Bombyx mori: one gene and its partners. The protein of the gene in region 2 binds, or shares a complex with, the protein of the main gene of each other region. Links are inferred from orthologs where the notes say so. Each region holds a gene or a part of one and is shown on either strand. Other genes may lie near its edges.

What was found.
Region 1: small nuclear ribonucleoprotein protein F (region 2) and pre-mRNA-processing-splicing factor 8 share a complex: the UniProt entries of both Homo sapiens proteins name them as parts of the U4/U6-U5 tri-snRNP complex. The link is inferred for Bombyx mori from reciprocal best matches to the Homo sapiens genes SNRPF and PRPF8.
Region 3: small nuclear ribonucleoprotein protein F (region 2) and U6 snRNA-associated Sm-like protein LSm8 share a complex: the UniProt entries of both Homo sapiens proteins name them as parts of the U4/U6-U5 tri-snRNP complex. The link is inferred for Bombyx mori from reciprocal best matches to the Homo sapiens genes SNRPF and LSM8.
Region 4: small nuclear ribonucleoprotein protein F (region 2) and splicing factor 3B subunit 2 share a complex: the UniProt entries of both Homo sapiens proteins name them as parts of the minor spliceosome. The link is inferred for Bombyx mori from reciprocal best matches to the Homo sapiens genes SNRPF and SF3B2.
Region 5: small nuclear ribonucleoprotein protein F (region 2) and puff-specific protein Bx42 share a complex: the UniProt entries of both Homo sapiens proteins name them as parts of the minor spliceosome. The link is inferred for Bombyx mori from reciprocal best matches to the Homo sapiens genes SNRPF and SNW1.
Region 6: small nuclear ribonucleoprotein protein F (region 2) and serine-threonine kinase receptor-associated protein share a complex: the UniProt entries of both Homo sapiens proteins name them as parts of the SMN-Sm complex. The link is inferred for Bombyx mori from reciprocal best matches to the Homo sapiens genes SNRPF and STRAP.
Region 7: small nuclear ribonucleoprotein protein F (region 2) and pre-mRNA-splicing factor ATP-dependent RNA helicase DHX16 share a complex: the UniProt entries of both Homo sapiens proteins name them as parts of the minor spliceosome. The link is inferred for Bombyx mori from reciprocal best matches to the Homo sapiens genes SNRPF and DHX16.

The regions. Positions count from the first base shown.
Region 1 is NC_085114.1:12,588,053-12,592,344, forward strand, and holds the start of pre-mRNA-processing-splicing factor 8, read left to right. Parts: upstream 1-1,492; 5' UTR 1,493-1,505; coding exon 1,506-1,692; intron 1,693-4,292. UniProt on the Homo sapiens protein: Plays a role in pre-mRNA splicing as core component of precatalytic, catalytic and postcatalytic spliceosomal complexes, both of the predominant U2-type spliceosome and the minor U12-type spliceosome.
Region 2 is NC_085117.1:15,790,703-15,794,017, forward strand, and holds small nuclear ribonucleoprotein protein F, read left to right. Parts: upstream 1-1,422; 5' UTR 1,423-1,500; intron 1,501-1,582; 5' UTR 1,583-1,593; coding exon 1,594-1,768; intron 1,769-2,426; coding exon 2,427-2,518; 3' UTR 2,519-2,815; downstream 2,816-3,315. Other genes in the region: RAB6-interacting golgin, read right to left, coding at 1-37. UniProt on the Homo sapiens protein: Plays a role in pre-mRNA splicing as a core component of the spliceosomal U1, U2, U4 and U5 small nuclear ribonucleoproteins (snRNPs), the building blocks of the spliceosome.
Region 3 is NC_085112.1:10,370,835-10,373,094, forward strand, and holds U6 snRNA-associated Sm-like protein LSm8, read left to right. Parts: upstream 1-1,332; 5' UTR 1,333-1,441; coding exon 1,442-1,732; 3' UTR 1,733-1,760; downstream 1,761-2,260. UniProt on the Homo sapiens protein: Plays a role in pre-mRNA splicing as component of the U4/U6-U5 tri-snRNP complex that is involved in spliceosome assembly, and as component of the precatalytic spliceosome (spliceosome B complex).
Region 4 is NC_085131.1:3,913,443-3,916,715, forward strand, and holds part of splicing factor 3B subunit 2, read left to right. Parts: coding exon 1-3; intron 4-890; coding exon 891-997; intron 998-2,540; coding exon 2,541-2,731; intron 2,732-3,273. UniProt on the Homo sapiens protein: Component of the 17S U2 SnRNP complex of the spliceosome, a large ribonucleoprotein complex that removes introns from transcribed pre-mRNAs.
Region 5 is NC_085130.1:3,027,623-3,031,800, forward strand, and holds the start of puff-specific protein Bx42, read left to right. Parts: upstream 1-1,378; 5' UTR 1,379-1,503; coding exon 1,504-1,520; intron 1,521-1,691; coding exon 1,692-1,843; intron 1,844-3,562; coding exon 3,563-3,720; intron 3,721-4,178. Other genes in the region: uncharacterized protein LOC101746654, read right to left, coding at 475-547, 653-694. UniProt on the Homo sapiens protein: Involved in pre-mRNA splicing as component of the spliceosome. As a component of the minor spliceosome, involved in the splicing of U12-type introns in pre-mRNAs.
Region 6 is NC_085123.1:9,320,351-9,324,368, forward strand, and holds the start of serine-threonine kinase receptor-associated protein, read left to right. Parts: upstream 1-1,218; 5' UTR 1,219-1,443; coding exon 1,444-1,558; intron 1,559-1,728; exon of another isoform or gene 1,729-1,995; intron 1,996-2,736; exon of another isoform or gene 2,737-2,768; coding exon 2,769-2,903; intron 2,904-3,476; coding exon 3,477-3,635; intron 3,636-4,018. Other genes in the region: signal peptidase complex subunit 1, read right to left, coding at 720-1,001. UniProt on the Homo sapiens protein: The SMN complex catalyzes the assembly of small nuclear ribonucleoproteins (snRNPs), the building blocks of the spliceosome, and thereby plays an important role in the splicing of cellular pre-mRNAs.
Region 7 is NC_085110.1:11,489,415-11,493,524, reverse strand, and holds the start of pre-mRNA-splicing factor ATP-dependent RNA helicase DHX16, read left to right. Parts: upstream 1-1,310; 5' UTR 1,311-1,465; intron 1,466-4,110. Other genes in the region: WW domain-containing oxidoreductase, read right to left, coding at 236-359, 628-656. UniProt on the Homo sapiens protein: Required for pre-mRNA splicing as a component of the spliceosome. Contributes to pre-mRNA splicing after spliceosome formation and prior to the first transesterification reaction.

The DNA of each region.
Region 1 (4,292 bases), on a different chromosome or scaffold from region 2:
GTTGATGGTTTCCATGGATTATTTTAATACATAAGATACTATTACGTATAGCACTCTCAGACCGAATAATACAGACTCAAAATATCAATAAAACTGCCAACTGATATCGCTTATTAAGAAACTTGTAACTTACTTTTACATTAATAAATTATTTCTTAGCATTGAAGTTAGCGTTTTACAAACTGTTAGCTTTATCAACTAGTTCTAATTTAAGTCTAATTAGATTATAGCATAAAGTTGATCTTTGATTTAAACAACAACTCTATGATAGCTATGCGCACCATCTTCAATCACATTCCTCATAATATGTTGAAAACATATAAGCTTAATTCGACAAATATTAAATTTTTCAATCTATGATCGAGAAGTATACCGTAAAAATAAAATTAGTAGGTACGTATACTTAATGGTTTTTGGGTTGATTTTGTAGTTTGGTTAGTACGAAAGTGTTTTGAATTCTCTTTGGTAGGAAGCTTTTAGTAGTTATTGGTATTACTGCCTTAAAATTCAGTCTATTGTCATTGATTTTTTGGCGGGAGGGCGAGGAGTGAAGTTGTGTGATTTGTTTTATTTTGTCTATTTGGTGTTTCTTCGGGCTTAAATGTGTAATAACGGTGGCTTATTAACTAATTAGTATCTGTGAAAGTGCACAAATGTGAAAATGAAACAAAGCCACTGAACGTAACTTCTCGGGATCTTCCAAAAAGTCCACTGAAAAAGTCTTATTAAATGTCCACCATTTTCTGAGATTATATTTCATCCTATATCATCTCATCTCATTTCATTTAATTTCATCCAAGTTGATTAATGTCTCAAATCAATCATCTTCATTTCATTTTATTTTAATCGGCCCTCTGGTGTAGTGGTAAGTGACATGGTCACTACACAAGGGGTTCGCGGGTTCGAATTCCGCCAAGAGAAGGTATTTGTATGATAAATATAAATGTCTTTTCCAGGGTTATGGATGTATCTTAAATATATGTATGTGTATAATAAAAATCTTACGTTTATTTCCGTTATCTGGTACCTGTAACACAAGTTCTTTACGAACTTATCACAGGACCAGTTAACGTGGTGTGATTGTAAGTAAAATATTTATATTTTATATTTATTTATATTTAATTTCACTCCACATTATCATTTATCATAAAAATAAGAATATAATATTATGTTAAAATAAGACATGACTTAAAAATCTAAATTACCAGGTCATAAAATCCCTTAGAAAAATATCAGAATGTATAATCTATGATTCAGTCTATTGCAAATGGCCGTCAAACAAATTGATTTGTATTAGAGTTGTTTGTAATTTTTTCTTCCAAATGTGGTGTTATATTAACTTTGTTGAAAGTGATACAATACATTTCAAGCCTTAAACTCGAAAAGGTAAGTAAAAAATGCTCAATTACAAGTATATTTCAAATAGTAATACCTCGTTCCGTTAAACAAGCTTTCATTTGATTAGTGATACTTATAAAGTTCTTCGTTGTAGTAGGCGGTCAGCAATGTCGCTGCCGCCGTATCTGCTGGGGCCCAACCCCTGGGCCACGATGATGGCGCAGCAGCAGTTGGCAGCGGCACAACAAGCGGCGCTTCAAGCGCACGCGGCTGCCGCTGCTGCTGCGCCCCCGGTGCCACCAGCGCAGCCCCCTAAACCAACTCATGTTCCCGAGGAGAAGATAAAAGAAAAAGGTCAGTTTAGTATTCAATGCTATGTATTTATTGTTAGATGTAAACTAGGCATTAGTACGGATATTGATGTAAAGAAGATAAATTATTAGACTAACCTAAAAAAAAAAGGACAACGTATTACCATTATTGATAACCGACTTTTAATATTTCATACAATTAAATGTTTATTTTTGTATCCATTGAAGGTGAATGAATATTTGGCATTCCTTATTGATTTTTGTATAAAAATTAATATTCATACTGATACTTACCATTGATCTCTTGAGTTACTTATTTCAAATCTATACTAATATATAAATCTATAATAGTTTTTACGGATATTCCGTTATAACTACTGAACTATGCATCAGATTGACTTCAAACTTGGTATCCATGTAGAAAATACATGTACTTAATGGATAGGCTAATATTTATATGAGTGTTGGGTTCCCTAATAATAATGTTAATTTTAAATGCCCAGCGTAGAGGGCGAGTATGGCTAGTAATTCATATATTTTATCAAATGAATAGGACACCAATTAAAGGTATGATTCTGTTAGTTAAGTTGGCCAAAATTCATACCCTATATCATATGCAGTATGGAAAGACGGTATATTATTGATTGCTCTATATTTCAGTTATGTATATAACATATATGTAAGATTAAATGATAAGAAAACTAATGAATGATTAGAATCATTGAAGCAATATAACAACCTGGTAAAAATCTATAATAAGAGGAATGTTATTATATTTGTGTACTGATTTTTTCAAGTCAACACTACATAACATCGCTGTTGTTAGCAAATTGTATCAGTGGGAAGAACATCAATATGGTAATTCTGTCAGTTTCATGGGTTTTGTGAAGACTGACATGTTATTGCATAATTTTGTCATTAGGGTAGGTTGCTAAATTTTAATACTAATAATAATCAGGTATTGCCATACTTCAAACAAACAAACATATTTTATTTGTTTAGCTATATTTCATATCTGATTCTTAGTACTAAATAATAATGAAAAAGAATGCCAGGAGTCAGTCACATATGCTTGTTAACAACATCCTACTGAATTTTGCTGAGAAGCATTACTGGTGGTAGGACTCTTGTGAGTCCGTGCGGGTCGGTACCACCACCCTGCCTATTTCTGCCGTGAAGCAGTAATGCCTTTTGGTTTGAAGGGTTAGGGCAGCCGTGGTAACTTTACTGAGATCTTAGAACTTATATCTCAAGGTGGGTGGCGCATTTACGTTGTAGATGTCTATGGGCTCCAGTAACCGCTTAATACCAGGTGGGCTGTGAGCTCGTCCACCCATCTAAACAATAAAAAAAGCAACCGTATCTAACTATGTCTAAGGTGTGTAGCTTCAGTCACATGGTGCAGCCTATCTATAGATCTATGAACACATAATAAGAGGTGTCTGAACTTATCGGCCTACTTAACATTTTACTCTAAAAATTGTCTAACAAGACATAGTGTATAAATTCTGTCTTTATGTCTAGTAGCTTTTTAGAATAAAGCAGAAACAGTAATTTTTTTTTATATTGGAATGTAGAAAATTTCTTGTTAATAATAAGCTTACCCTAAAGTTTTTGAAGTTGCTATTTAAAGATATGGTAGCAATTTAGCAGTTGGGGTTAGATTAATTTGCAAGTGATATATTTCCCTTACAAAGTTTAAATGGAAATGCTGACACTGCACACATAAAAAATGCAAACTTTTTTTTTCTCTAAATAAAAAACATACACATTACTGTATATTCAATTTTTTGATGTTATTTTATCTTTTAATTTAATTTAATTATTTTATTTTATATTACCACACTTTTGCCATTTGACTGACTCGGTGGTGCAGTACTCTGCAGTAGTTAGTAAAAGAAATCAAACAACATAATTGTAGCTATGGAAATATGTAATGTAACATATTTTATTGGCGGAATTCACAACTTTTTGCATTTCAGTTTTTGAGTTTGCATTTGAATGCAGTTAAAAAATATAATGACTTGAGTTAAAATTAAGTCAACAGTAAAGAAATCCTCATAAAAAAGTCAGTATAATCAACATGCAAAATTGTCACTAATTATTTGTATTAGTATTGATATTGTTAGGGGTACAGTACTTTATAACTTATTTGTCCATTCATACATGTGTTCTCACCAAAAACTACATCATTTAAACATATTATCTAGCTTTCTTTTAAAATCTATAAATATCTCTTTGGCTAATTATAAAAATATGAGCAAATTTTTCTAGTGTAAGATAAATAAAGCAAGAATGAATTGAAACTGTAAAATTGTATTTTTCACAGATATGATTTGTTGCATTTGTTTCTATTTAAAAAACTCCTTTTAATTATTTATTGCGAAAATGAGTAAACGAGCTTACAGCCCCTCTGGTCTAAAGTGTTTACCAGTATCCGAATCGAAAAATGAAGTCAATTGTAAATCAGTTGCCCTCGTCCTTCGAGTAAAAACGATTGACTATCTACTTTGCGTTCTTGCTTCTAGTACCCGCGTTCAAACTAACAACACGACATACTACCAGGAAAAAATTATCCAAAAATAAGCTTTTGTGTACATTATTTGCTTGTCTGGAAATAAAAAAAATTTAATTGGCATTTTA
Region 2 (3,315 bases):
CCAAGTCATCTTCACTAAAACCTGTAAATTGTGACATGTTTTATTTGTTTTTACATAGATATGTCAGGGTTATGTTTTTCATATAAGGTGCATTAATGTAAAAAATTGCAAAACTCATAGATAGATCGTAAACGTAAAAATCTATATTTTCATTGATTCAACACTGATTCACATCAAATTTTTACTATTCTGCAACACTACTTTGACATTGACTATTTGACGTTATTGGAACTTTTTTAATCACGTTAGATTGAATTCTGGTCTTTTAAGCCAAAAACCCATTGAAATAGTGTTTCGCCCATTTAATTATTCGAATCCATTTAACATTTATTTTAACAATATGTACATTTTGTCTTTAAAATGGTTTGGTGTTATAGCTCTACTCTCAGCATAAGCACTTCAACACACAATGTTGAAGTTCTCGTTTTCTATTCCCAAAATAGTTTTATAAAAAAACCGACTCTACTTTCAATTATTTGATGGTTTTTAGTTAGGCCAAAGATCGTTCATACCATCTTTAATTAAACAAACTTATCTAAATGTTTTTATTGCTAATATATAGTTTTATGGAAGCTTTTCACATATTTTTTCTTCTCTTCACATTTTATCAATAGCGAATTCCTCCAAATACGTTGAGAACTTTCAGCTTAGGTGTGTCGTTTTAGTCGCTACAAGCCCTTCTCTATTAGTTAAACATATTTGAAAGTGTAAAAGATTGTGGAAATATAACAAAATCACTGGACCTGACTTCTCAGGACTTTATGTTTATATAAATTAAAGAAAATAATTACCATTTTCTGTAGTTTTTTTTTCAACTGGGCTTCAATAATAATAAGATGAAATACATACTATTATTAATTTTTTACTACATTTTTTTAAAGGGATTTTATGACCTGGACTAACTAAAACTTTTAGGTCAAGTCTTATTTTAATTTTATGTTACGTAACTTTTTTATATGAAAATTATAGAAATGAAATGAAGTTGAATAATATGAAACATGGCATGAAGTGAAATGAAAACGAAATGAAATGAAATGAGATGAGATGATATGGGATGAAGTATAATCTCAGTAAAATGGTGATCATTTACTGAGACTTTTTCAGTGGACTTTTTGGAAGATCTCGAGAACTTACGTTCAGTGGCTTTGTTTCGTTTTCCCACATTTGTGCACTTTCACAGTTACAGTTAAGCAGTTAATAAGCCACCGTTATTACACATTTAAACCTGAAGAAAGACTAATTAGACAAAATAAAACAAACCACTCCTCGCGTTCCCGCCGAAAAGTCCTAGAAAGAACTAATTATAATAAATTTTAAACTACCTGTGTTTTATCTATGGTGGTGTATTATCTATGAGTAGCTGATGGCCGTGTTGCAAATTCAATGCTTTCATAAATAAAAAATAAAAAAATATCTATGAGTAGAAATTAGCGTCGAACTCGAAGCGAAGCCGATACATTTTGAGGTTATATTTTGTATTTCTTGTTAGCCGATATTAAAGTAAGTACTGATGTTTCTTAAATAAGCAATGAAAACAATAAAGGTGGTTTGAAAATGAATTAACATCCAATTTACTTTTTAGAACCTGCAAAAATGGCGGCTGCTATGCCAATAAATCCCAAACCATTTCTTAATAGTCTAACGGGTAAATCCGTGCTAGTTAAATTAAAATGGGGTCATGAATACAAAGGTTTGTTAGTATCAACAGATGGCTACATGAATTTGCAACTTGCTAATACTGAAGAACTTGTCGATGGAACTTGTACAGGTTAGTATTTAAGTGAACAACTTTAAGTAATCACGAAAACATATTAAAGCAAGAGATTAAGATCTACTGGTAGTGGACCTGGACCAAAATTGAATTAAAAATGAGACGTTCATTGTTTGTTTGGTCTATTATGAGTACACTATTCTGCACCCATTTCGACTTCAAAGCTTTCAAGCATTCTGCTTTGAAGAGTAGATTTAATATTCATATTGTAATAAACTTATAAATTCTAGAAGCCACTTAACACTAAATGTCATGGGGTTCATTTGCCCTTTTAAAGAAAAAAAAAGTACTTGCTACAAAGAATGCACAAAATCAATAAATTTCATAACAAGAGACAACTTGACACTTACAAGATTCCAAACCAAACTTTTTGGTTGTGAATAGTTTTGTGAATTTAATTAATTTAAATTAGTAAATAAAATTTAGAAATCAAATCTTAACATTTAAATATTTTTTTTTATATTTTTTTTTAAGAATCTTTTTTATTGTAATTCAGTCCATGCTACATCAAACTTAATGAAGTCATATCAGCAGAGTTCTGTAAAGCTTTAACGGCGTTTGTTTTGAATACTAGTTCAGTTAGTTCTGTTAGTCCATACATACAAAACACTAAATTAAGAACCCTATTAATTTAAGTATTGGGTTTTATTTCCAGGTAATTTAGGTGAAGTTTTAATAAGATGCAATAATGTCTTGTATGTAAGAGGAGCTGATGAAGAAGATGAAGAAGGAGAAATGAAAGAATAATTAGTAATTATTACATAAGTTAGAATAAGGAATTATCTTAAGAATAACAGGCAAAAGGGAAATTTTAAGCAAAAAAATAGAAATTTCATATTACTCTGTTAGCAGTAAAATTACCTTAGGTATATATCCCGAAATACTAATGATTGAGGAGAAAAATGTTAATTGGAACTATTGTTGTATACAATGTTTAAATGAAACAACTTTAATACTTTTTTTTTTTTAATAACTATGTCTGAAACAACCTCTTCAGCATGAATTCCATAACTTGTATAATTAATTATAAGTAAATTTTCACCATAACCTTGTTTTATTTTCTCAACACTAACTTTACAAGAAAAGGTTTGCGATTTATATTGTCCTTGCAAAAAATGAGCATGTGAAAACAGGGAAATATATTGAAATCTAATGATCTTCAATGTATTTTACCCCATTCCTTCTTGCTCTTTTTTGGCCTTTGGGTATTAGATTCCAAATTCGTTTAAAAACACAACCTCATTCGCAAAAACAATTTTCATTTAAAAAAACTTTGGTTCTCATTCTGGTTATGATTTGAAACTAAAAAGTAAATAATACAACCTTATTTTAATATAGTTAAAGCTCTAGAAGTGACTAAAAAGAGATGCATATTATTTTATAGTATCTAGTCTGTGAGAGAACGAGATAGAAAACTCCTACAGGTTACACTTCTACATTTTGCGAATTGCTGCACACTTTGTATTGCTCTGGATGAAGAAAAAAGCTGACTGCCTACTTGGTATTAAGTAGTTGCCATAGCCCACTACATAAATCATCACTCA
Region 3 (2,260 bases), on a different chromosome or scaffold from region 2:
TCACAGCGGTCGGGGAACTTTTTTAATTATTACCCCAAAATATATTTTTTTAAGTTGGTTGGTTGGGTAATTACCCCATGGCGAAGAACAAAAAAAATATGAAATCGCTTCTTTTTAGTATCTTTCATATTATAGCCCCGATGATAATTTTCAAAAGAAAAAACTAAAAATTTAATTTAAGCATCATTTATTCAATTTATCAATGTAATACATAGTAATACATAACGGTAATAATAGTAATATCTGTAATATACAGTTGAGGAAAAAAAATCACCCCCACAGAGAATATAAGTAATTGATAATTTCTTGTTATTTTATAATTCACACGATGCCTACAATAAAATACCTGGGTCAATCACGTGAACTTTGTGTTTCCAAATAATGTGTTCTATCTCATTCTCTCGCCGGCTGAATCCTATATATTTATGTGTTTGTGTCTCTATGGACTTATTTTTCGTTTCGTTTAATTTCGTTTCATCGAATTTGAAATCACAACGATTCTAAAGAAGCTTCACTTCAATATATACTTTTTACTCACAAAAGTTTCATTTTTACGCCCCAAAATTTCATTTTAGGTAATTTACCCCGGTTCCCTGGCTGCTGGTGTATCATAATAATTTGTGAATATATGATCCGTCAGATCTTTTCTACCCAATTTACACGCTTTATATTAACTTCACTTGTATGTATGTTTGCAACTGACTCCTTTAGACGCGATTTTGACCCACTTTAAACGGCCAGAATTCATTCAAACTTTGTAGATTTATCGAGGACCGATAAAAAAATACTAATTTGATAAGATTATTCCATTATTCAATTTATAAAATAAGATTTTGGTCAATTTATATAATTTTTATCTATACTCGATAAGGCAGGAATTGATGTTAATGTACTTAATAGTTTTAAAAATACGCTTTTAAAGAAAATTTAAAATACATAATAGTTTAAAAAACTAAAAAAGACACTTTATATAAAATTCAACTAAAAAATTAAAATAAATTTTAATAAATTTAAATTGAAAATAGTGTAAAATATATTTTATTTAAAAAAAAGAGTGGGGTGCTTTTTAAGATATTATTGAAATAATAATTCTTCTACTCATATCTGTCAGAAAAATATTTATAACTAATAACACCATGCACCCCATGCTTTTTTTACAATAAAATATATTTTACACTATATTCAATTTAAATTTATTAAAATTTATTTTCTATTTTTTTAGTTGAATTTTAGATAAAGCGTGTTTTTTATTTTTTTAAACTATTATTTATTATGTAGTAATCATGTAGGTAGTAATAGTAATTGTAGTAGCTATTATACTAATCTGTGTAGGTACACATTTCAAATAATAATCTGTGGCAGCTCCCTGAAATTTGAAAATTTCTTATAGTTGTTTGATGTTGATTATTACTAATTTGAATTTATAAATAAAATAATTAGAATGGCTTCTGGACTCGAAAATTACGTGAATCAAACAGTGTCGGTAATAACTTCGGATGGACGTAATTTTATTGGCACCCTTAAGGGCTTTGACCAAACAATAAATATTATTTTAGACGAATCTCACGAAAGAGTGTTTTCCTCCACAAGTGGCGTCGCTCAAGTAGTACTTGGACTTCACATAATCAGAGGAGACAATGTGGCAATAGTCGGGCAAATAGACGAGTCAATTGATAGCAGATTAGACCTCGGAAACATCAAGGCAGAACCACTTGGACCAATGGTACATTAGAACTAGTTAATAAATGTTTTGTTATCAATCGGTGTTTCATTTGGGCAAATAAATATCATATTTTGTATTCGTCTCTTGTCTTGATTTACTAATTCGCAAAGCAGAATACATATTTTCACCCATAAAAATTAATCTTAGCCCTGGCTTGGGTTTTCCATTCTCTGAATAGGATTTGTGATAGCATGCCCTGTAATACCTGTTAGAATAGACAACACCCTGGATATATGTTCATTTCTTTGAACATAATCCTTAGGAAGTTACTTATGATGCCTATTGTAAACTACCAAATTAAGGGTTATATGTTTTACTCTTTCACAAAATACACATGAAGGTTCAAATACATTAAATCCCTGTATAATATATTCACAGGAATCAAAAATATTCATAGGTACTAAAAGAACCTTATTTCTCATTTGCTAATGGGTCTCATCACAATCAGCTCAGTTAGCCTGTTACCAACACAATTTTTTTAATGTGTTTGTGCTCTAGTAACTGGCATATAAATAACCGTTTTAGAATAAGCATAAT
Region 4 (3,273 bases), on a different chromosome or scaffold from region 2:
CGGGTAATTCGTTTTGAGTAAATTCGCAATTTTGGCGGGAATGCGAGGAGTGAAGTTGTGTGATTTGCTTTATTTTGTCTATTTAGTGTTTCTTCGGGTTTAAACGTGTCATAACGGTGGTTTATTAACTGTTTAGTATCTGTAAAAGTGCACTAATCTGGGAAAATGAAACAAAGCTGCTAAACGTATCTCGGGATCCTCCAAAAAGTCCACTGAAAAAGTCTCAGTAAACGACCACCATTTTACTGAGATTATATTTCATCCCATATCATCTCATCTAATTTCATTTCATGCCAATTGATTAAGTTTCCTTCGTTTTTTATTATTCATAAACTGTAAATAATTAAAACGACTAATTATAAAAATCTTAGTACTTGACGCTGGCTAATGCACAAACCGTGCCGGAACTAAAAACTAAAGAAGAAGAAGAAGTAAGAATTAGAAATTTTAAAGAGGTGTTACAACAGTTGAGACACGTTTAAATATTACTGCTGTACTATGCCCACATGTCTAAAATAAATCTATTTGTTGAAACGACCCGCGCACCACCTGTCGTACGTCATTGGTACTACGTCAGCATTAAACCTAAATGCCAATCTGAACGCCACGAATAGATTTGGGAATCCATCAACACCACAAACAATAGAGTCGGTTCGTTAAAAATAGTGGTGGTAGGAGCTCTTGTGAGTCTGCGCGGGTAGCCACCATCCTGCCTATTTCTGCCGGGAAGCAGTAATGCGTTTCGGTTTGAAGGGTGGGGCAGCCGTTGTAACTATACAGAGACCTTAGAACTTATATCTCAAGGTGGGTGGTGCATTTACGTTGCAGATGTGAAGCAATAAAAAAAATCTTGGATTTGTTTTAAATAATTTTTTTTTTTATTTTTTCAGAGGAGAGACTCCGGCTCTGTACCAAGTACTGCCGGAGCGCCGCGTGGGGGTGACGTCAGGGATGATGGCGTCCACGCACGTGTACGACATTAACGCAACGAACCCCGGTCAGTGCACTCATCTATATCTATACTTCTATACTAATATATAAGTCTACAGTGGTTTTTACGGATGTTCCGTTATAACTACTGAACCATTCATCCGATTGACTTGAAACTTGGTATCCATGTAGAAAATACATGTACTTAATGGATAGGCTAATATATATATATGAGTGTTGGACTCCCTAATAATAATGACCACCATAAATAATAATGTTAATTAAAATGCCCAGCGAAGCGGACGGGTACAGCTAGTTATTGATAATTATATTTTAAACAGGATTTTGTTCGCGTTAATGTGATAGAGATTATAACTCTCAGAGACATATTATTTTTCTAGTAAAAAGATACATCATGTAATGCTCTACATCCCTGTCAACGTCTGTTGCACAATTTCATGATAATCTATTGAGTATTTGTTACGAGAAAACATACAAACTCATCTTCGTATTTATTATTTTAGGATGGGTTTAAATAGACTTAATGAGATTTCATAAGGGAACAATGTTATAAAACTATACTATGTAGGAATGTAAATTGACGATGAAACATCGGGTATACTTTCTGATTGAATTAGTCAGTATATCGACGCTTGAAAGGCAAACATGACTAAGCGACAATGATTGCTTTGTACATAAATGATAGGTAATTACCATATTCGATGCGCAAAAAAAATTTATTTCTAGGTCTATTAAAATTATTTCAATCTTACAGCTACTAGCTAGATTCTACTACAGCTAGATTCGTTAAAATATTTTTTTTCCAGGTATTACAACTTTAAATTAGTCTACTGTAAAGTTCACGCATTGTCGCTTAGTCACGTTTGCCTTTCAAGCGTCGATATGTAGATTTAAAAAAAAAAACTTGAATTAGTTGCGGGGTTTTAGGAATTAGGCGGGTTTAAGCCTTTCAACTTTATGTGTCATGATAAATCATAACTTATATGTATAACGAATCCCATCCCGCGTGTATTTTGAAGTTGGGGTATCGGCACTTTTAATTTTAGCTTAAACAAGTACATTCTTATGATATAATATTTTGTATTTGTGTAAGGTCATTTTTAAGTTAATTTGAAGCTATAGTTCGTTCGCGTTAAGAATCCAGTGAGTCATCATTGTTCGCAAATCTTTTTAAATTACAAGGTCAAGTTCACTGCAGTGACAAGTTGATAAATTCGTTAATTGTCTATGATTGATAAATTCGATGAATTAGACAAAATTAAATGTGCTATAAGAAGAAAACTACACTCGATATATTTAAATAATATATTTATTTATTTAATTTATATATTTAAATAACCCAACATTAAATAAAATTATCACAATTTTTTTTGTCATAATTAATATATTAATGATTTCATTTTGATTTTTAACTTTTAAGTGTATTTTTTAAATTCATTAAACTTAATCTTTGAAAATATAATTTGTATGAATTTTACACCACTGTGAATACATCTTTACTCGCAGTTGCACTGGTGACTCACTGCATTCTTAACGGGAACGAACTATAGGGATAAGAATAGGGTGTGATAATATTATGTGGTGCATAGTGAAGCGAGCGGGCGCGACCTCGACGGGTCACGGCCCGGCGGGCGGCGTGGAGGTCACGCTGGACCCCTCCGAGCTGGAGCTGGAGCCCGAGGCGGTGGCGGCGCGCTACGAGCGCCATCTGCGCGACCAGCGACCCAACACCCACGAGGACCTCTCCGACATGCTCGCGGACCACGTGGCCAGGCAGAAGGTGAGCAATGCCAGAGACACAGCTGAGTCGCTCCCTATTAGGGTTGCCACCCGTACTTTATTTTAGGTATTTTTACTCTATACTTTATGTCAACAATAAGGTACACGAAAATATGTACTCTATTTGGCATGATTTGGTTTCTTAGGGATTTTGAAAAGTTTAGTCATATGAATTTTTTTTTGTAACCGAAATACATCGATTGCTCAATCGATGTCGTCACTCGCCAACGGTACATCACCTACGCACTCGTTTTCTTAGTTTGTTCAATTGTAATAAAAAATACGTATTTAAAAATAATAATACATAATTAAAAATACACTGTACTTTATTTAAATACTATATTCTTTTTTCCTACCTATAATAATCAATGTACTTTATCTGCAAAAAAAAGGTGGCAACCCTACTCCCTATCGCTGATACCGCAACGCGCAGTCTTATAGTTAGATTTGAATTCTCATGATAACTATCACCTTGATTCGAGTTGTAATCAAACACGTTGGGATGGATCATTAAAACGTATTGTAATTAAAACTTACCCGTCT
Region 5 (4,178 bases), on a different chromosome or scaffold from region 2:
TAGTGTCTTAAGAGTTCAGGGATCTTTTATTCACTTTCATAATAGAATAATTCAAGATGATTTATTAAGTAAATTTCACATCAAGCCCCTCAAAATCCAATGCAATTGCATTTAAGTGATTATCTTCCAACTGCAGGCTGCTTAATTTAAGCAGTAATACACACAATTTCCACATACATATACACAATAGTTATGTGTCATTAGAAAAAAAAAACTTTATCTTCCATGATATAATCTAAAGAGCACCCAGACTATAAAACATAATAAATAATCATTACATAAACATTTTCATGGCTTAGTCCCTATTTGTACTAATAGCACATTTGTTTGCTCATTAATTGGCCCAAAAGAATTGCATAGAACAAATACGTTTTGTTAAAATAGTAAAGAAAATGTTGTACAGTCTGTGTTGACTTAAAGACAGACTGCTATGAAATTATAGATATTTTATAAAATTATAATTGAAAAGGATATAAATTATGATGGGGACTGCCTGTGCTACTTTCCCCACCTCCTCATCCGTCTGCATTATCTTCTTGATACGTCCCTACAAACAAACAATGTCATGATTTCACTAATCTCAGACTTTTATACATGAAAACAACACATATTTTAAGGTTTTTGAACATTTTTTAAGAACTTTTGAACTTACTGGTGGAAATCTAGCATTGTATTTTCTCTTCTTCAACGGCATTTTGTATGTACGTTCACTATAACACCAATTAAACAGGAAAAATAGTTAAATTTGTCTATAGAACTATTACTTCTCGCGCATTTTTGAGGTTATAAAAGGGAGACGTTCGCAGCCTACTTCATTTATATACGAATTTGACAGTTCGTCTCCACCTCTTTTTGTGACCATTTTGAAACATTGAAATTTTGAACATTAAAATTCATTGCTATGGCGATAATGATAATATTTTTTTCATTTTAAACTCTAAAGACAGTCCGAAAACATATATTTCGAAAAGAATGATGACTTGTGATTGTGAATAATTTTGTTTCAGTCAAGTTAAAAAAATCGTTCAGAAATATCATTTTAAAAACAGCATCGAGAACTATGAATTTTTATTGCGAATTCCTTCAGGATTGATAACAAAAAAACCGTTCAATGATCAACAACAATGGTACTATTTAATGTATAGGCGAAATTAAATAACAAAAGTTGGTTCGGATGTCTACCTTGCTGACAGTGTACCTTGATTTACATAATACGTCTTGTGTTATTTGAAAAGACCCCCTCAGCATTAGTTTACAATCTCTGCGGAAGAAAAAATCAAACTCAAATTGTCTTTCATTCATTTTATCACAAAATTAGATTACATAAAAACAATTCCATTCCATTTTTCAGACATACGACTTTATAACAAAAGATCAGATTGAAGGATAGTTCTCTTTACTATCCATTGGACGAATCGTACAGAGAAATAAATCAAATGTCAAAATAAATGAACAATGTCAAATTAGTGAAATGTCTACGGTATTTCAGATTCAGACATAAAAATGGCGTCGTTGTCGAGGTGTGTTTTAAATGAAAACAATCAACTTAAATACTTGAAATTGAATATACAATAAACGCCGAAATTAAATAATAACTGATTAAAGCTACTAGTTAAATTAACTATTGTAAATAAATAATTTCATACGTTTACGTATTGACAAACTGACCGTGGTTCACGTTTCATTTTTAGCTTGTTGCCTGCCCCTAGTCAGCAAGTGTGGGATAGAGATGATGAGTTGAAGGCTAAACGTGTCGGGAGTGCTCTTGTAGTGTCCCAGACCAGTGTGCCACCTTACGGTGAGAGGAAAGGATGGGTACCTCGAAGAGACGAAGATTTTGCAGGTCTGTTAAATTTTGTAGATAAAAAAGTGAATAACCCCCGAAGTGAGAATCAAGTCAAAAAGTAGGTTTTTATTTGAAGTCGGAAAAAGAGTATCATCATCGATTCTATTCATACAATAGCATGTTTACTTCTGACGTGTGCTTATCCAGATATTAATCAGTAGTTGTGGCTTTCATATGAATTGAGAGACGGGAATAACCCCCGAAGTGAGAATCAAGTCAAAAACTAGGTTTTTTATTTGAAGTCAGAAAAAGAGTGTCATCATTGATTCTATGCATACAATAGCATGTTTACCTCTGACCTGTGCTTAACCAGATATTAATCAGTAGCTGTGGCTTTCATGTGAATTGAGAGACGGTATGCCGCAGGGTGTTGGAATCTGGATACCGAACTAGATCTTTCAGTAATTCTGAATGTCATTCTTACATAAAAAACCAGGTTATTATAATTAAAGTGGTTTTTGTGACATAAAACTACATAGCCTAATAATATAATCTTAATAATAAAATACATAGCTTAGTAACTATTGTGATGGCTTGGGATACAGGTGTATACAAGCTTGTGTAATGAAATAAATGTAAATTGTAATAATATATTTACAGTAAGAACTTGCTTAATGAGTGATAATATACATTCCATCAAAGTAGAGTTTAATATGAAACAGCATTAAACATAATCTCATAATGTAAATAATGGGGTTAGGTTAGATAGAAAATTGGTGAGGTATATAACATTAAATACCTCACCAATTTTCTGTCTATCTTTCTCCTATAAAACAATAATCTATTTCTTACAAATATAGAAACAATAAATGAATATAGTCTGTATGTTTATGTTGTATTTCAGTTCATACAGTTTCTTCTGTATTGCCAATTTTCTGCCTTTATTTTGCCAGGTGGTTGGATGTGCTAACAGCCCACGTGATGTTAAGTGGTTACTGGAGCCTATAGACATCTACATCGTAAATGCCACCACCCACCCTCAGATTTGTGTTCTAAGGTCTCATCTTTAACTACGGCTGCCCCACCTTTCAAACTGAAACTCATTAATGCTTTATAGTGTAAATAGGCAGGGTGGTGATACATCCCCGTGCAGACTCACAATACGTAATACCACCAGTAATTACGCATTATAATTTTGTGGATTTGATTATTATTATGTGATGTTATTCCTTCACAGTGGAAATCACTTGTGAACATTTGCTAAGTACGTTCATTGGAAAAATTGCCAGATTCCTTATTGTTGTCGTTGCCAAATTTAATGCAGCACCAATTTCAGATTGACATTCACCAGTATCTAATCTTCTATTAGCTTGCATCTAGTTTCTAGGGAAATAGTTTTTCTTGTTGCTTTATTTTTGTGTTTTTGTTAACACCCATGATAAAAACTTAAAATAAAAATATTTGTCACTTTATCAATCATTGTATCATATAAATTTGTACTTACAATAACACCAACAAATGTTTGAAATGATAAAAATATGTTGGATAACACTGCAGGATAGGAAAAACACAGAATAATTTATTCTGATATCGGGAAGCCTAGTGCCGTGTGCAATTTCAGGTCTTCTTCAGGCAAATCTTACAATTCAAATAAAAGAGAGTTAAACTGAAATCCCACTGAACGAGTCAGCATTATGTCAGGGTCTTACTGTACTTTCAAATTACACCTAAAATTAATTATATACGCAGTATTGCTTCAAAGCTTGTATGTTTTAGATGGCGGAGCATTCCCAGAGATCCATGTGGCACAGTACCCGCTTGGTATGGGAATGCGAGGCAAGGAGAGTACTTCAAACGCTCTTGCTGTCCAGCTGGATGAGTCTGGGAGAGTCAAATATTCTGCGATTGCCAGACAAGGACACAGCGCTGACAAGGTGATCAGTTAATTATTTGACATGGTGAATGAGAACACAATAGATATTATTGTTGAAGTCCTTGATTACTAAACACTTAGATATGTAAACACATAATAGGCTGATTAGAGAAATAATTTAAAACATCTAACAAGTTCTGTGAAGTCTGTTAAAAATCTCTGAATCTTTATTTATTTTAAAAGTTTTTGACTGTAAATAATATGTCTGTGTAGAATAATTTAAATGTGACCATTGATGTCATTGTTGGAAAAGGCGCCTGTTTAGTTGAATGAACAAATATTATGGTACCATAATTATTTCTGCACAGATTTCAATTTTGTATCATATAACCAGTCATCTAAATGGATCGATAACTTAACATTAAATAATATTAATTGAGAAATAAGCAGTAACATAGTTTGAGCATTTCCTGAAACCATCTCTAGGAAAGTATTATTGGAAATTTTTCCAACCAACAG
Region 6 (4,018 bases), on a different chromosome or scaffold from region 2:
GTAATAATGATAAACATTGAGCAACAATGAATGCCATAATTTGTCACAAATAGGAAACAAGTAAAATTTTTGTTGAAATGTTTGGTTTGCATAAGGAATATATGTGATTTAAACAGAAAATGTTTTCTTTCATTAAGGTACCAATTTGGATATTCATACCTATCATTGTTCATAACATTGACATCAACACTGAAATACTAATAAGGAAATACAAACCGAACCTGTAAAAATGATAATTTTTGTAATTATTGGTGTTAAGGCATCTTGTTAGCCCACATAGGTAGTTCCTACAACCTTATTTCTGCTGTAAAGCAGTAATGTGTTTTAATTTGAAGGATCAGGCAGCCATTGCTCTATAGCACTAACATTTAGACCTCATGTTTCAAGTATGACATAATTTATGTTGTTCATGCCTATGGGCCTCATAACCACTTCACACTAGTTGGACTGTGAGCACATCTATCTAAGTAACTAATAATAGTTTCATTTTAAAACATTTGTCCTTAATAGTAAGAGTTTATTTTTGTAGTACGTGCATATATTTCTTAGCTAGTTTAAAAGTTCAAAAGATTAATTTGGTACATATTTTATAATAGTGCGTTTAAGTGTGTGTAAACTAAGATTGACAGTTATGTAAATAAAACAAAATTAAAACTTATTAACTATTGGATATATTTGAGAAGTAAAAGTTGTACAGACAAATTTTGAGATAATGAATTTCACTTCTTTCCTTTCTTGGCTGCTGGTTTGTCATCACCGTTCTTAGGAACCTGCCAGTTCAGAGGATTGCGTCGGTACATTGGCCATGGAGGAACAGTAAGAATGGCAGCAAGCAGAAATCCAGCACCAAGAATATACACTGACTGCGAGAATTGCTGAACTATATAACCCCATACAAAACCAACTATACTGAACAATGTAATTATTGCCCTGTATAATTTCTCTGCTTTTGCTTGTCCGACGTAATCTATGTGGGTTGGTATAGATGTAAAGAAATCCATCTTGCTAAATTAGATTAATATCACTTGCCACAACAACAAATTATTTTGAAGAAACTTATCAGAAGTAACCAATTAAACGGTCTGACATTAAACGTCAAGCAATAGACACGTCAATACTAAATTGACGTCGTCATAAAAGATATTACCAGTATTATAAAACTGATTTCTAAACGTTTCTTTTTATTAGCCAATATTTTTTTTGTTCTTCCTAAATTTTATTTTATCAAAAAACTTTTAGCCATATCTTAAAATTTAGATGGCTTGCAACAAAGCTATGTTGATAGTAGTTTTAAGATATTTTCTAGTAATACTGCTTTTTCCTTTCCGTCAGTCGATTGTCAACATTCAGTACGATCAGACTCATTAGGTTAATTTTAGTTTTACAAAAAGATAATTTAGTTTTATTTTTCCAAAGTACAACAATCAAAATTAATTTAACAAAATGACAACGCTTAAACAAGTTCCTCTTACATGCGGTGGCCACACGAGACCAGTCGTGCATTTGGATTTTAGTGACGTTACAAAAGACGGATATTATTTGATTTCTGCCTGCAAAGGTAAGTTTTTATTGTTTATTCGTTTGGGGTGCTTTTGCCTTAGTCGTGACATATATAGGAAACATAATTTTTTCTAATATTAGTGGGGTGTGTTTCACGTTGACAAATGTCGGGCGTCGTGCTACGTTTATGAGACCTTCACTTTAGTTGTTTTGTTCTGAACAGTAGGTTTGGCCGGCGTGCATTCTATGCATGTTGCGACCTTCTCTTTCCGGACATGCAGGAAGCACCTTGAATATCCACTTGTGTGTTTCCTCGGCGCCAGTTTGCCTTGGGCCGCGTCGTGCTTTTTATTCATGTACTAGAGGCTAGTGCATGACATACAAGTTTTTCAACTTTGAATGCATACAAATTTGGAGCGAGCTCGGAAGTTTATTCCTGTATTAAATTAAATGTTGACATTTCACTTATTCTGGGTCACCTTGTACCAGCTCAAGGTTTGTTGTACTTGACATTATTAATAATGATATGGGAGTTCTGACAACATAATACTCTAACACAATGACTTATCTGTAAATTTTATTATAATGAAAATCAGAAATAAATGATAATTATTATAATTTTCACTTCCTTGTATTGCTAATGTGAAATTAATTATATTCAAGTCTTGGCTTACATGTTTTGTTTGTATGATATCCTTGGTTTTAGCTGTTACCTGTTTTGGTTCTGATTTAATAGTTCCATTAATCTCTGATGAATTAATCTTTTTTTTATATGTAAATAAGTATAAAAATCAGGAAATAGCATACTTGAATGTTGTTATTATGTAGTGTAGTATTGTTTATTTATTTCCTTGTATAATTAATAGTTGTTATCATGTTTTGTGTTCTTTTATACAAAATCAGAATTTTAAAATAATATCAACAGAAACTTATTATGAGTTATAATCTGGACACTGAAAATAATTTAGTAGTTGTAAAAAAGCAATAACCAGATATTTTTAAACATAACAAAACTAAAATGTAATAGCAACTAGTTAATTTACAAAGAGCTTTAAACAATGTATGAGCTATGATTGTCTTTTACTATCATTATATACTATCTCATGTATCAACATAGTTTATGTATGAATGCTTAATTTGTCTAATTATTTACATAAATGAGCTATCTTCACTGTTAACAAGGTTGTTTATTCCTCATATTTTATTAATATGATTTCTGGTTTTGCTTTTATTCAGATTATAATGTAATGGCATGTTTTGTTATTAAGATGGCAAGCCTATGTTACGACAAGGTGAAACTGGTGACTGGATTGGAACATTTGAAGGTCACAAGGGTGCTGTTTGGGGTGTGGCACTTACACAAAATGCAAACTTGGCTGCTAGTGGGGCAGCCGATTTTACAGGTAAATATTAAACAAGTAAGTTAAACTGCTTTTATTGAAATGTAAATCTGAAACTGTACACTTCAAATAAGCTACTAATTAGATTAAGGATATCACACTGTGAGTGATTATTTTGTACTTTAATCTCATAGGTTTGAATTTTTTGTTTTATTAATATGATCTAAAGTTATAATATTTTTGTCATTTACACAAAATACCATGGTCTACTTTAGCCACTGACTTACTAAAATAGTAATGAAAGAAGCCAAAAATATTAAATGTTTAAGCTCTGAGTATTTTCTTAGATATGTACTTAAAGTGCTTTGTGAAGCTAAAATGCTGAACAAAATACATATTTTTTGAAATAAATATAATAATATAAAAAAGTTTTTTCATATTAAATTTCCATTCCACTCTGTGATATGTGACCGATTTCACGATTTGAAATAACTAAAAATATGCCTAACCTATTTCGAGTGTGTAGATTTTGAGTTAATGATAATTTTTGGTCACAAAACCCAAAATAGTAAATTTAGTAAAAAGTGATTAAAATAACTATTACAAATTACTTAAAATCAAATTTTATATTTACAGCAAAATTGTGGGATGCTCGATATGGTGATATGGTCCACACTTTTGAACATGAACACATTGTGAAAAGTGTCAATTTCAATGCCGATGACACATTGTTGGTGACTGCTAGCAATGAGAAACTTATACGAGTTTTTGACCTCAACAAGCTTGAAGCTGGACGTATGTAATTGTTGCTTAATTTGGTTTATGTTACTGTTTAGACTAGTTTTTGAATGAATTAAGACCACTATAGTAACTATGAACTAAAATTTCTTTATATAATCTTATTATTGCTTTATTGTTACGTAGTTACTGGAGACCATAGATATGACAAACTGAATACAGCAAAAAAGGCTGGTATATATTATCAAAGCCTACAATATGTGGTCTGAATTTTAATATTAATCTCATAGAAAAATTATGTTGATTTCTTTTGTTAACTGATGACAGTCAAAATATTTTTGACAATTGTGGATCACTCCTTTTATTAGCAATAGTGGTCCGATCAAAATCCTGCTTACTTGCCTAGCATAAATGTTCTTGGTGGGCGGGTGGTTAATTAA
Region 7 (4,110 bases), on a different chromosome or scaffold from region 2:
ATTATTATCAATTTAAAATACGTTTAGATCAAAATAAGGAAAAAAGAAAACAGAATATTTATTTTCGTGCTTTGTTCGTCTTGGTGAGAAGAAATCGAATCATCTTGCCACTCGTCTTATTGGAAGTGGTCACTACAAAATAAATGAAATTAATAATTTAAATGTTTATGCATTGGTTGCATGTAATTCATATTTTTACGTAGACATTAACAGGACAAATTTTAATGTAACAAACCTCTTCGCCAGTTGGTCCGTGTATTCGAAAATTTAAATCAAAATAATTTTCAACCAAAGATTTGACTTTAGAAGAACTAAAGGCTCTTACTTTATCATTTAAAATGAGGTTTCGAGTTGTGACGCTGAAAATGAGTGATTAATAAAATTAAATGTTAGAAAAATTACTCACATGACTTTATATTCTTCTCAGCCGCTAATTGCAATTATTTTTAATTGTGATTAATCGACTAATTTATAAAATACCAGCTATTCCAAGTAGCTTTACTTGCCACACAAAGTAAGCGCATTTTTGAAGAACATAACATTTACTTAGCCGTCCATTCGAAATATCGTAGCGCGATATGAGAAACCGATAAGTCGCAAGTATAATTTTACAGTTGGTATACTTACGTCGCCATACGATCAACAAAACGTAGCATAACTTAATAAAATGATACTAAAAACAAACTGTATATATTTGCTATAAGGAAACAAAGCAGAAAGTATTGCACATAAACCGTATTTTTATTTTTGTACAGGACGTGTCATTAAAAATATATGTAAAGAACATAGGTAGAGAAAACAATCACTTTCTGGTATGAAAAGTAGGTTTACATATTATTATAAATCCTCTTTTCTCAGTTTTACTTCATGCTGTACTAAATTACAGGATCTTTTAAAGATTTTAACGGAAACTTTATCTTTTTTATCTACGGATATCTACAAGGCATTCACAGCTTTTACAGCGCGTCCTCAAGGATGCCAATCTGCTCGCGCAGCTGTTTCGCGAATGAGTACATATACATCGAAAATACTCGCATAAAATATTAAATTATTGTATGTTTTTATTCCTGTAAATGAACAGGAGCTCGTAAAGCATCTAGTTTAAGCGGTTGCCACTAAAGCCCATAAAAATCACAAAACAAGATTATATATAATTTTGTTCTACTTCTAATTATTTCGGTTCGTTTTATTTAATTTTACTCTCAAAAGACGTGTCTAACTAGTCTGACTACATGTACGGACTATGTTCCCTTTGCTTTATAAGTGAACAAAACATGTCAAAGTCAAAGTGAAAAATAAAACAATCAATTTTACTAAGGAGACGGTGTTTGATGGTTAGCACATGCGAACGACTTTTCCTTTTAATTTTTAATTGTTTGTGTTTTTGGTTATATTTTTTGCTGCCTATATCTATCTGTGTTTGTTTTTCTTGTTGTGATTGTCAAATTTTGTGTGAAGTCATAAGGTAAGTTTTCATTTATTTAATCTCGCGTAGTCAATGCGGGCCGATCATGGAGGTTGACGATCGACCCCCTGGACGTCCCCCAGATCCTAGTTTAACCTGGAACGATGAGGGACAACATCCTCAGGGTGATTTTACATACTCACCAGTCCTTACTGTACCATTAACTAGTTTCGAGTCAATTGAGGCACATCATCGTAAGCGAGCTCTCGAAACCAACAATGATAATGATCTTGCTTCGTCTACTTCCAAACAACAACGACCGTTAGCACCTAATAAGTATAGTCGCGAACGCTATTCTGCGAGGGATGTGGCTCCATTTTTGGTCCATGTTACTCGTACAGAATCTGACCCGAAATCGGGAACTACCCTCCACCCCATTAAGTTTGGACAGATGATGATCAAACTTAATATTAAAAATGTTCTTCCTGATGGAGTCAAAAAAATAGGTCGGAATAGGATTGCTGTCCAGTTTAAATCTCCAGAGGATGCAAACTCATTTTTGACCAACAAAGAATTGCTAGAAAATGGATACTCCTCATTAATCCCGACTTATAATATCACTAGGATGGGTATTATTAAGGGTATGCCTAATGACTGGTCAGAAGAAGAGATAGCTTTAAATATTAAGACACCATCTGGTTGTGGCGGAATACTGAAGGTGAGACGCATTAATCACAAAGTTATTACTGATGGGGTACCAGAGTGGAAACCTACTTCCTCTGTGGTTCTTACATTTGATGGTCAGACCCTCCCAAAACGTGTCTTTTGCTGCTTCAATTCCCTCCCTGTAGATATATATTATTTCCCTACTGTACAATGCTTTGGATGCTGTAAATTCGGTCATACAAAAACTCAATGTCGCTCAAAGCCCCGCTGTTTCCGCTGTGGTGATGAACACTTTGGTGAGAACTGCACTAAAGAGGACCCAACTTGCTTTTATTGCTCTGGACCTCACTGTGCTAATAGCAAGCAATGCCCTGAATACCAGAGACAAAAAAATATTAAAGTTGCTATGGCCCAGAACAACATCTCATATGCAGAAGCATCCAAAACATTCCCTACTGTGTCAAAGTCCTTTGCTGATGTTTCAGCATCAGTCCCTCCCACAACTCATATTATTCCTTCAGCCCCCTCGTCCTTACGTTTCCATCCTCAGACTTCCTCTTCCTCCTACAGAAAAACGATCCTCCAGAAGCCTAAAAGTCATGCCCCTCACGTCCCGGGCTATGATCAAAGAACCCATAGAGCTATTACTAATTCCTACTCTTTTTCTCCCTCTACTAATGGCTGCGCTCTCAGTAAAAATTCTTCTCCTTCTGAAGATATTCCCTCTAGTGAAATCTTCTCTCTAATTAAACTACTAGCTTCTCTTTTAACTAAAATTAACCTACCTGACCACGTTGCCAATGACATAATTGACACTATTTTTTCCCACCATAATGGATCTAAATCTCTTGCAGTGGAATGCCAGGAGCGCCCTCCCAAAAAAACATGACTTTCTCCATTTAATCAATTTATATAATCCCGCAATCTTTGCAATTTCTGAGACGTGGCTCTTGCCACATCTCCCATTTCACATCCCAGGTTATAGCACCTACCGTGATGACCGTGATGACGGGTATGGTGGTGCTGCTATACTGGTCAACAATGTCTTCCCTTCTTCTTCTCTTTCTCTTCCTCCTCATGGAGCCGAGATTAATGCCATTGGTGTTAACATCCTTGGTATTAATTTTATCTCCATTTATTTCCCTCCTTCTGTCCCTATATGTATTCCTTTCCTAAGAAATTTATGTATTTTATTGAACCCAATTATTCTTATGGGAGATTTTAATTGTCATCACTTCTTGTGGGGATCTGACCATTGTGACGCTTCAGGTACATATTTGGCAGAGCTAATAGATGAAATAGGGTTATACGTCCTTAACGATGGATCAGCCACTAGACTCCCTAGACCGGGTCAAAGCAGAAGCTGTGTGGACCTAACACTGTGTTCATCCACACTAGTAAATTCCCTAGACTGGAAACGTCTTAATTCAACATACGGTAGTGATCATTACCCTATTTGTTCTACCTTTTCCAATAGGTCTCTCCCCAGCAAAAATAGAACTCCCTTATTGCAGTATCGCATTACTGACGCCAGGTGGGACATTTACCAACAGAATCTAGATAAAAGAATCCTTTCCTTTCCCCAAATCTCTTTTGACAATTTGGATGCTTGTTTGAGTTTGTATTCAGATTCCATTTCAGCTGCTGCAGATCTGAGTATTCCCTTGAAAAATTCAGCTTTGGGAAAATTATCTTCTCCTCCCTGGTGGGACAGAGAATGCACAGACCTTATTAAATCCCGGAAAGAAGCTGAATTTAATTACATCAAGAATATGACCCTCTCCAACCTTCGGGAATTTAACAGAATAGTGGCTAAATCCAAGCGCACATTCAAGAAAAAAAAGTATGAGAGTTGGAAAAAATTTTGTTCCTCTCTTTCACCTTCATCCCCGTCTTCCCTAGTCTGGCAAAATTATAAAAAATTTAGACGCGGATGCTTCCCTCAAAATTCTCCCAATATCTCACGGAGCATCGCCCTACAATTCATTAACAGATTGGCTCCTGCCTATGCTCCTCTTATTGATGAGTGTCCCTCATTG